Linked DNA regions of Arabidopsis thaliana. The protein of the gene in region 1 interacts with the protein of each later gene in a pairwise test. Each region holds a gene or a part of one and is shown in the gene's direction. Other genes may lie near its edges. The genes, in order: AT4G29450, ATBET12 and AT3G12180.

Evidence for each region.
Region 2: the proteins of AT4G29450 (region 1) and ATBET12 interact in a protein complementation assay, tested with the Arabidopsis thaliana proteins (one large-scale study listed by BioGRID).
Region 3: the proteins of AT4G29450 (region 1) and AT3G12180 interact in a protein complementation assay, tested with the Arabidopsis thaliana proteins (one large-scale study listed by BioGRID).

The regions. Positions count from the first base shown.
Region 1 is NC_003075.7:14,480,924-14,484,678, reverse strand, and holds the start of AT4G29450 (Leucine-rich repeat protein kinase family protein), read left to right. Parts: upstream 1-2,052; coding exon 2,053-2,128; intron 2,129-2,481; coding exon 2,482-3,522; intron 3,523-3,607; coding exon 3,608-3,755. Other genes in the region: PLA2-DELTA (Phospholipase A2 family protein), read left to right, coding at 1-88; PLA2-GAMMA (Phospholipase A2 family protein), read left to right, coding at 749-866, 973-1,092, 1,160-1,333, 1,462-1,613.
Region 2 is NC_003075.7:8,308,222-8,311,976, forward strand, and holds the start of ATBET12 (Target SNARE coiled-coil domain protein), read left to right. Parts: upstream 1-2,097; 5' UTR 2,098-2,260; coding exon 2,261-2,274; intron 2,275-2,577; coding exon 2,578-2,728; intron 2,729-3,193; coding exon 3,194-3,250; intron 3,251-3,338; coding exon 3,339-3,398; intron 3,399-3,498; coding exon 3,499-3,584; intron 3,585-3,692; coding exon 3,693-3,717; 3' UTR 3,718-3,755. Other genes in the region: AT4G14450 (uncharacterized protein), read left to right, coding at 1,298-1,675. UniProt on the Arabidopsis thaliana protein: Required for vesicular transport from the ER to the Golgi complex. Functions as a SNARE associated with ER-derived vesicles.
Region 3 is NC_003074.8:3,881,258-3,885,012, forward strand, and holds AT3G12180 (Cornichon family protein), read left to right. Parts: upstream 1-2,072; 5' UTR 2,073-2,206; coding exon 2,207-2,281; intron 2,282-2,762; coding exon 2,763-2,944; intron 2,945-3,029; coding exon 3,030-3,152; intron 3,153-3,252; coding exon 3,253-3,313; 3' UTR 3,314-3,607; downstream 3,608-3,755. Other genes in the region: AT3G12170 (Chaperone DnaJ-domain superfamily protein), read left to right, coding at 116-214, 316-417, 499-558, 644-750, 837-919, 1,011-1,101, 1,194-1,398.

The DNA.
Region 1 (3,755 bases):
CACAAAAGATGGCCTTGGAACAAATCAAGGCCCTCAAACAAAAGATGGCTCCAAAGTCTCTGTTCCGATGAACCCTTCTCCTTCTTGATCATTAGGTGACTCATAACTCTCAAGTTTTGTAGATTATTTAACTTTGTTGTCTTATGAAAAATGATCAAGATCTTGAATTCTCTCAGGTTCATGATTCCCATGTATTTTATACATTACATTAGTTTCTCTTTTACTCTAGATATGAGAGGATTCAAAACGAATTCATACTTATATAAGAAATCAAATGTAGAAAAGAAGAAAAAGTGTATATGGATTTTTTTTTTCTAATAAATCAAACATAAATTCTGTTGTTTCTTGATGTAAAAATCAGCAATGATACGAAAATCGAAACATATTAATCTGCAATCTATTTGTAACAGATTGCATTAAGAAAATCATTAGCCGTTGCGAATACATAGCTTAAACGTGTTCTGTTCCAAGAGGTAACAAAAATGATACTCTGTTTTTACCGTCCATGATAATGCTTCTTCGAGAAGGAACGTCCATAAAATATGATGATTTGATTGGTAGTCATGCAACTTCTTCATTTTTTAAATTCTTGTGTACGTAAAAGAGAGAGAGAGGGGAAGGACAAGAAAGCAGGAGGACCAACCAAAAATGGGATATTCCATTCCAGAGAGAGCCAAAAATAGTTTGGGACAGAATTTGAAAGAACACAAAACCCAAAAACTTCAACCAGAGAGCGAGATTTAGAAAGATGATCACCGGGCTTGCTTTGTCACGTGTTGCTTTCGGTTTAACCGCCTTCCTCCTCCTCGCCGTCGTTAGCAGCCAGGAGAAGTGCAGCAACACCTGCATTGCACAGAACTGCAACAGTAAGATTGTTTTTTTCTTATCATCTTAGTTCTTATGCCTTCCTTTGATTTTGGAGAAAAAAACTTGTGCATGCATTATATGTTTTGATCCAATCTTTGTTTTCAGGTCTTGGTATTCGCTATGGGAAGTATTGTGGGATAGGTTACTTTGGATGTCCTGGAGAGCCACCTTGTGATGATCTTGATGCTTGTTGTATGACTCATGACAATTGTGTTGATTTAAAAGGTAAACCAATCAACAACATAATCTATGCATGAAAACCATTCTTGAGTTAATATTTGGTTTTTATTAGGTATGACTTACGTTAACTGCCACAAGCAGTTCAAACGTTGCGTAAACAAGCTAAGCAAATCTATTAAACACTCTAACGGAGAAAAGATTGGATTCTCCACACAATGCCCTTATTCGATAGTGATACCAACCGTGTTCAATGGAATGGATTACGGCATTTTCTTCAGTGGGATAGGTAATTATTGAGCTCTGATTTTGTGACATTCAATATAAGCTAGTACTAGTGATGAAACCACATGACTCTTTTTCTGTTACATTGTGACATTTCTTATGATAAGATATATGTGAATAATCTCTGCGCAGGTAATATATTTAATCCCCCGGTGCTGGGAAGCGTGCCCGTCGTGGAGGTGGATCTCGCTCGGAGTAAAGTGGACACAAAGGATGGCCTTGGAACAAAACTAGGCCTTCAAACAAAAGAAGGCTCCAAAGTCTCTGCTTCTTTAAATATATGAGCCCTTCTAGTACTATTTCTTGATCATCTTCTAAAGTGACTACTCTCTGTAACTTCGTTGTTATAGAAAATTCATAAAACAAAAAAAGACTTTGAATTCTGTCCCAGATCAAAATCAACTGGCAATCAATGACTCAGTCTATGTATTTTATCTATTATTTTGGATGTTAATCACATCTTTAATAACTTCACTAAAGTCAAAACGTGACATTGTCACTAATTCCATCTTATAAAATCCAGGTTGTCTTCCTGTCCTTAGTGGGAAATATATATAGTTACTGAGCCAATGATGAAAGAAAAGTCTACAAACACCTGGCTAATACCATAAAGAGTAGACTTTGCACTTTTTGGCTTTTAATTAAGCTTATCTTACTCGCACGTAGTCTGTTTTTTTCCTGAAGATGGTAAGCTGAAGAACTTCTGAAAAAAGAGAGAAGAAAATGAGGGCTAATCTCGTTTTCGGCATATTTTGTGCCCTTGTTACCACCATTTTAGTTCACGGCCAAGACCAATCAGGTTCCCTCTTCTCCTCTCTGTTTTGATTTGAAATTGAGGCGAGGTTCAGACTGAAGAAAGCTTGAGTTTTATTATGAAAAGTTTTTGTCTTTTAAACATGTCTTGGATTTTTAGTCAAACCCTTATACAATGTCTTGTGTTACAAGTAATCATACAATTCTCTCTTTTCTCTGTTTTCTAATTTGAAATTGACCGATGTTCTTGAAGGTTCTTGAAAGTTGTGATCTACGTTTTTGTCAATATAGAGAAACGAAGTTAGGCAGATTTTTAAACCTATCCATGAACGTTCTCAGACGTCATAAACAATTTTACTTGTGTTGGAAGTAACTCCCCTTTCTTCTCCTCTGATCCAGGTTACATCAGCATCGATTGTGGCATACCTCCTTACGATACCCCTGAAGACACTATGACTAACATTAATTACGTCTCCGATGAAGCTTTCATAACCACCGGCGTAAACTTCAAGGTCTCTGAAGAATACGGCTATCCAAAAAACCCGGTATTGCTGTCAACTCTTGCTGAAGTAAGAGCTTTCCCTCAAGGAAACAGAAACTGTTACACCTTAAAACTTTCACAAGGAAAAGATCATCTTTATCTCATTAGAGCTTCCTTTATGTATGGAAACTACGATGGTAAAAAAGCTTTGCCTGAGTTTGATCTCTATGTAAACGTGAACTTCTGGTCGACAGTGAAATTCAAAAATGCTTCTGATCAAGTCACCAAAGAGATTTTAAGCTTTGCAGAGTCGGATACAATATATGTTTGCCTTGTGAATAAAGGCAAAGGAACTCCTTTTATTTCAGGGTTAGAGCTCCGACCAGTGAACAGCTCAATCTACGGTACTGAATTTGGAAGAAATGTCTCTTTGGTTCTCTATCGAAGATGGGACATTGGATATTTAAACGGAACAGGACGGTACCAAGACGATAGATTCGATCGTATTTGGTCTCCATACTCCTCAAATATCTCCTGGAACTCGATTATAACATCGGGCTATATCGATGTTTTTCAGAACGGTTATTGTCCACCTGATGAAGTTATTAAGACAGCTGCTGCTCCTGAAAACGTTGATGATCCGTTGGAATTGTTCTGGACATCAGACGATCCAAATGTTCGGTTCTACGCATATCTTTACTTCGCGGAACTCGAAACACTAGAGAAGAATGAGACTAGAAAGATCAAGATTTTGTGGAATGGTTCCCCTGTTTCTGAAACTTCTTTCGAACCTTCTTCAAAATATTCAACGACGTTTTCTAATCCAAGAGCTTTCACTGGTAAAGATCACTGGATTTCTATTCAGAAGACTGTAGATTCAACGCTTCCACCGATTCTCAATGCTATAGAGATTTTTACCGCACAATCTCTAGATGAATTTTCCACCACAATTGAAGACAGTGAGTTTCCACTTTCAATCTCTATTTAGATAGAATTAGATTTCTACTGAAACTCACATAGTCACATTTTCTCTTGGTAATGCAGTTCATGCTATAGAAAGCATAAAAGCAACTTATAAAGTGAACAAGGTTTGGAGTGGTGATCCTTGCTCCCCAAGATTATTCCCTTGGGAAGGTGTTGGATGCAGCGACAACAATAATAATCATCAAATCAAGTCCCTGAATCTTAGCTC
Region 2 (3,755 bases), 6.2 Mb from region 1:
GTTAGGTTAATATTAGTCCGCCAACTCTTTAATTTATTAAATACACAAGCTACATAGAAAAGAACAGTGTCTTTAGATCCATACTTGACCAGCCGGTCTAACCGATAAAACTGTTAACTAGACATATAACAATCATTATTTTACAAGATCCTATAATTCAAATACATATTCAAATATTTATTTAATATGCAAAGATTTTTATTTTATACCGAATAAATACTAAGATTTATCTTGTTTATTGACTTTTATTTTTAAAAAATTTTATACCGTATTTATGTCCGATCAGAGCCGTCCATGAACGCAATAGGACCAAATTTATGCTTGCGGCCTCAATTACTACAAATAAAATATTGACCTAATTTTTTTATAACTTTCAGTAAAAACGTTGATTATTTGATTCTTAGATACCTATGGTCGTCAAAAGTTTGAGTCCATCTACCTTCATTTACCTTGTTATTTTTTCATTTTCACTCATTAAAATAGGTCTAAATTTTGTTCTTTGCTTGCAATCTATTAAATACTAGAGACGGCTCTGTGTTCGATTAATGACACCACGATGGGACTTATAATACAAATCAGTATACTCATATATTACAAGATCATGTTAACTTTCTTACTATTTATATTTTGGTTAGCAACATGCAATATGCGGGTTTGAATAAGGCCATAAGGGTGATGACACACTGACAACACTAACACAAACCATTGGATTACATTTTTTTGTTCGTGTAGAAGTTAATCAGGCGGCTAGTTGACTTGACTTGGCCTGAAAAATGCAAAAACCTCACATATTTAAGCACATCGTGACATGGTCCGATTTTTGCTTTCTTTTGTTTTGTGGCTTAGATTGTAAAGCTCTGTCCGCACTAGACTCAACTTACATATTCATATTCATATTCACCTCTGGTCCATATATATTATAAAAGTCCAATAGAACATGTTCACGAGAATCTGTATAGGTAAACCTCATCCACCATTTAACATTTCATGAACATGTTTGACTTCCATTAACAAGATCGATGTCTTTGTAATTTAATATTAAAAAGAACTTTAACATAAAAACAAGCATGGAAAATTCAAAAAGAATTGGTCAAAGAGTATTGCCAAAACAAAAATGTAAAGAAACGGGAAAAGGGAAGATAAAGCAGCTAATTTTCTTTCTCCAACTCTGACCAATGACCATATCCAAGCGTGTATGTAATGTACCTAGTCAACATGTTACAAGTCGTGGCCCTCCTCACCTTATTATATATGTCATCTACATAAACATCAGACATCACACACCAACATCATTATTATGTTCTTTGATACAAAAGTACTCAATTATCCTACAATTCACAAATCTATCTCCATGGCGTCCACGATGCAAAGAACAAGCAGCTCCGCGGCCAGTAACGAGAGGCAACTTAGCCAGCTACAGAGACGAGCTCCGTCTTTAATGATCAAACCAACGTCTTTTAGTAACTGGAACGTGGCGATCCCTCTCCTTTCACCGCTCGCTCCTTCTCTAACATCATCCTTCGACCAATCACATGTTCCTCCGCCGCAGAACAAGACTGAGATACCAGTGGAAGAAGAGGTGAAGAAGACACCAGTTTTCAAGAAATGGCAACATCCCGCGTCGCCGTTCTGCTACGAGCCAACAACGTTTGTCCCACCGTTCATCCAGGTTTAGAACGGTTCATCAAAATTTTGTAGATTTGATGACTCAGCTACCAGCCCCGTGTGAATTTTGTTCCTGTGATATTACACGCGGTTAACTATTTTTCACGTTTTTGTATCAGTTTTATCCTCTAAGAGATAATATTATTCACTAACAAAGTATTAATTCAAGTTCTAAATGGGTAAAAAAAAATGCATAAAACACATGAAACAAAATTATGGGAAAAACATGGAGAAAATAGTTGCATGAATTCTTTAAATAAATTGTCAAATTAACCCATCATACATCTAGGGTTGGACTTTTCTTTAAAGTTCATTTCTTCAAAGTGTTCACTTTTAACAAATAAAAAAACTAACTTCATGGATTCAATATGGGCCGAACTAAAGCCCAGTAAGCCCAATTCAATTTAATTCTATTTTCTTCTTCTTCTTCTAGGGACTTGTAGTACAGTAAGAACTTTCGTACGTTTCTCGCAAACAAAACACGAAAACTTACGCTTCTGGAATTGAATCCAAATCGAGAATTTCCTTTACAATGCTCTAAATTCGTCTGTTATGTTGAATCCTTCGTAAGAGAGTAGAATCGAAGACGAATCAAATGAACTTTCGAAGGTTTGATCTATTGATCTCTTCCTCTGCATTCGAATCCTGTTTTTATGTAGATTCATCAATGTTTAACAAATGATATTGATTCTGCTCTCGATCGAATTTGATCTAGATCTCTTCACAATCTCCAGATTCACTCTTTCTGAAATCTTAGTTTTTTGAATCACCGACATTCGAATTCCTGATTCTGAGTCATTGACCTAATTCTAGAGTTCTAATTACAGTTTTCCAGATTTTGAATTGAGTGTATCCAACTAGAATTGGAGAAAATTGGATCTGATTAAGAACCAATGGTTTTGATTTCTGTAGGGAGAATCGTGCTTCGAGAACGTCTCTCTTTGATGGCCTTGATGGACTTGAAGAAGGTCGCTTGAGAGCTTCTTCTTCGTATGCTCATGACGAACGTGATAATGATGAAGCTTTGGAAAATCTTCAGGACAGAGTTTCGTTTCTCAAGAGAGTATGTTTCTTTCATCTATATAACTAAAGAATCAAAATATCAACACAAGCATAAACATTAGGATTAAGAATTGTGATTCTTTATTGTGAAATGGATGGTGCTACTGATCCTTATTGTTTGAGAAAGAACAGTCCCTTAAGCACTGCTAAGTCGAGACCCTAAATGTATCTTTCGAGCATCGAACGATGATCTAATGCTTTCGAAAAGTCTAGATATAAAGAAATTGAACTTAGTTTTTAGTTCCTAGATATGTATTGAAATTGTAGATTAAGAACATTCTCTCCAGCATTGCTATCACTAGACCCTGTATAAGTCTTTCGGACTCAACGACAAGGATCGAGCTATGATGTAATGCCTTAGAAAAGTCTAGTTATGAAAACAATGCCTTTTTTGTTTTCACTCTTGTCAAATCTAGTTTGCAATAACGCTTGCCTGAGATGTAAGTTGGTAATAATATCTTATCAGGTGACTGGAGACATACATGAAGAAGTTGAGAATCATAACCGCTTGCTTGACAAAGTGGTAAGCTGAAAGTTTGATTTCATCTGTTTCAGTTTGTAGATCTCTATCACATGCTTTTCTTCTAAGCTATTTGTTGTTGTATCTCTAGGGGAACAAAATGGACTCCGCGAGGGGGATAATGTCGGGAACGATCAACCGCTTCAAGTTGGTATGTAAATAAGATTTCGTACCTTTTATATATGCATCACCCCTTTTGTTTTTCGCTATCAAAACTTATATCTGAATAAAACTCGATTTTAACACGACAGGTCTTTGAGAAGAAGTCTAATCGAAAAAGTTGCAAACTCATAGCTTATTTTGTGCTCCTGTTCTTGATCATGTATTACCTTATTAGGTAAAATACACTTCTTCTTATAGTTATCAAAACACTTGACTTTTCTTAGGGACTGGTTCAAGTCCTTGTTCTTTGACTCGAACACTGACAATCTTTCGGATTTTGCAGGCTATTAAACTACATCAAAGGGTAAATTTGGATACAAGAAGAAAGTAGAGTGTTAAATGAATA
Region 3 (3,755 bases), on another chromosome or scaffold:
TGGTTAAGATCCATGGTTTGATCAATTTGTACCGTAGCTGTTGCAATTCTTAGTTGTTTTCTTGGTGGTTAGTAGAATTCAGTGAAACGAACTAATGAATGCGTCTTTGTTGAAGGTTCTTGGTGTTGAAGCAACAGCATCTCCACAAGAGATAAGGAAAGCGTATCATAAGTTAGCATTGAGGCTTCATCCTGATAAAAACAAGGATGATGAGGTTTAACTGAGGGGTTTTGGTTTCTTTACTTTTCTTAGTTTTTAGGGGTCTATTCAATTTTACATTGTAACCGGAATTCTTGTTTTTCTTATCCAATACAGGATGCTAAAGAGAAATTTCAGCAGTTGCAAAAGGTTATTTCGATTCTCGGTGATGAAGAGAAAAGAGCAGTCTATGATCAAACTGGCTCAGTTGATGATGCTGTAAGTTGAAAGAAAGTTTTCAACTTAAGTAAAGGTACTGGAGGATTTTCTTACAAACTGGTTATTTCCCTATCTCATTAGGATCTTTCGGGAGATGTGGTTGACAACTTGAGGGACTTCTTCAAGGCAATGTACAAGAAGGTAAGAATCATGATTCACAATTGATTTCTTTTTGGACTTTGCAACACAACTGTTTCGTTCTGTATACTGATCATTTGTGCTATAGGTCACCGAGGAAGATATTGAAGAGTTTGAGGCCAACTATAGGGGTTCTGAATCCGAGAAGAATGATTTGATTGAGCTATATAACAAGTTTAAGGGTAAAATGAGCAGGTAATTAATCATCCCCTTGTTTTCATTATTGTCAAGTTTGTGAGTTGAAGTTTGTATAAACATTATTGGTACTATATCTCTTTCAGGCTTTTCTGCTCAATGCTTTGCTCGAACCCCAAGCTTGATTCGCACCGTTTCAAAGATATTATCGATGAGGCCATTGCAGCGGGTAGGCTTCTCTTTCTTGCAATAATTCTTTTGTCTATAAAACCTATCCAGGTTCTGATTTGTTTGTGCATACCATTGTTTAACATCTGCAGGAGAAGTGAAATCAACAAAAGCTTACAAGAAATGGGCAAAGGAGATTGCAGAAATGGAACCTCCCACGAATCCCCAGAAGATGAGACGGAAGTAAGCTTCTATTTGTCTACCTTTTCCACCCCAATAAATGCCCTCTGAAGTTATCTTTGTTGTGACCTGTTTCAAAATTTCTATACTTTCAGAGCAGCAAAGGCTGCAGATAAAGATTTATACGCTGTAATGTCCCAGCGGGGAGATGAGAGGAAAGAGAAGTTCGATTCAATGTTCTCTTCACTTGTCTCTAGGTATGGTAGCAATGCTGACTCTGAGCCAAACGAAGAAGAGTTCGAAGCTGCTCAGAGAAAAGTTGAAAGCCGGAGATCATCGAAGAAGTCTAGAAAAAAATAAAGATTATGTAGTAGTTTGTGAAATTTAGGTTTCGTGTTTGTAATGGAGACCAATGTTTTTAGCGTAAATTAGATCACATTTGTTGCTTCTTAGAAGTTGAAGACTAATGTGTATTTGCTAGGAAACAATGTGTATTTTTACTTTTTGTCTTTTTTCCAACAACAAAAAAAGCAGTGAGTTTACCAGTTCAAAAGCTCAGGGTCCCACGTGTATGTCGTCTGGATCTTCAGAAGAAGAGAAATTCTATCACCGGGTCCTAGGACTTCTCCACCTGCAAAAACAATCAGGTCGAGTAATGCATCATAATCAGTTGATAACTAAACAAGCCTTTGTTACAATGTAACATATAAACGTACGGTATCAACCAAGTTTCTCGGGAAGAGGAGAGTGGACGGATCCTTTGGCTTGTATAGGCCTAAATAAAGAACTAACAAATTTCAAGTGAACTTATTTAAAAGAACCAAATAATTATTCTAAAAGAGAAGAAAAAAATGAAATTATTTACTTATATGGCTTGTATAGGCCTAAATGGCATACAGTTAATAAATTTTGTTAGTTCTTTATTAATTAACACCAAGCATCTTTTTTTTTTGTTGAAAAAGAAAAAGGAATTTAACAAAAAGGATATTCACAAAAAGAAACTAGAGAAGTAATAATAAAAAGGAAAGAAGAATCTAATGTCCAATAGAACCCCAAAGTAAAGTACACCAATTGTTGAGAGAAGAAGAGTTCTTTTTTTTTCAAAGGTATTTAAGGAGAAGAGTCGCAGTCGCAAAAAGACGAATCGTAATTGTTGAAGAGAGCAAATATGGCTTGGGATTTGTTTTTATGGATAGTCTCCTTCTTCGTTAGCTTGGCTCTCGTCGCTTCCGTCTTCTACCAGGTAATCTATCTACTTTGTTTGTCCCCTTTTACTTTCCATTAAGATTCTTAAATCGAGATCTGTCCTTACTGTTCAAATCCTGATTGTCGGAATTGTACTTGTGAAAAAACACCGAGCAACTTAGCTTTTTGTTCGAATTAGCTAAAAAATTAGGAATGGAACAATTTTCCTTTGTGTTCGTCGGTTTTGTACTAAATACAATTGACAATTTTTTGGGTCCAGAGAGGTTTCATTGTTTATCCTTAATCTTATGCTTCTAACTCAAAGTTGTTCTTAGTTCTGATTTGGATTGTCTGCAAGGCTTGTATATGATACTTGGTCAATTGAGACATATAGTTGATTAATTGCGAGTTATATACTGTGAATGAATGAAGTTAGATACTACTACCAATAGTGTTTACTCTCATACTAACTGCCTCTGCTAATGATTGAAGCATTGAGATTCCTTTTTAGTCTATTGATATCGTGTGTGATTTTGTAGGTTATCTGCTTAACGGATTTAGAAGCTGATTACTTGAACCCTTTTGAAACAAGTACCCGTATCAACCGATTAGTAATACCTGAGTTTATCCTCCAAGGGTCACTCTGCCTTCTCTTCCTCCTCACATGGCATTGGGTCTTCTTTCTGGTCGCCGTCCCTGTAACAGTCTATCACGCAATGTTGTAAGTATCTATATCCATCCATATTGCTTATGATTCTTGATTGACATGCGTGGAAACTAAATACGCGCCTCCCATTGTTCTTCAGATACAAAGAGCGACGTTATCTCATCGATGTCACTGAAGTGTTCCGTGGTATCAGCTTTGAAAAGAAGCTCCGGTATACCAAGCTCGGGTTCTACGTCTTTCTCTTCATCATGGTTGTCTTTAGGTAAAAAAAACTACAGCTTTAGCTTTCCTATTAACATCTTCACTTACTTTGGTTCTTCTACTATGAAGTTACTTACCGAGTCCATAAAACATTTTTGCAGGCTCACTCTCTCTGCGGTCTATAGCTTCACGGAAGATGATGATCTACTTCATTTGTTTTGATTTATGCGCTTGCGCTCTGCGTTATCAACCACTCTCTCTTTATTTTCTGAGTGTGTTTTAGAAAATTGTGACAGGTTTTTATTACGTCCCTGCTTAGAATTAGCCATTCAGGGATTCATCATGTAGCTTTATATAACGTATGATTACCGAAAACTCATCACAAATCGTTTGACATGGAGGGTTTCATCAGTTTTGTTTTGCGCAATATAATGTTCAGTCTCATCATTGAAGTCATAAAAATCATGTATCAAGAATGAAGCTACATTGTATTACATAGACTGGCTGTGGAAAAACGCACCGATATCTAGTTTATCGGAGATGCAATTGAACCCGCTGTGGACCTTAAATCCATGTCCATCCAAGAGGAGGAGGAGAAGGTGACCCAAACAGAAACTCTGCAAGAACAAAAACCAAGGCATGTTTCAACAAACCTTTTTATATG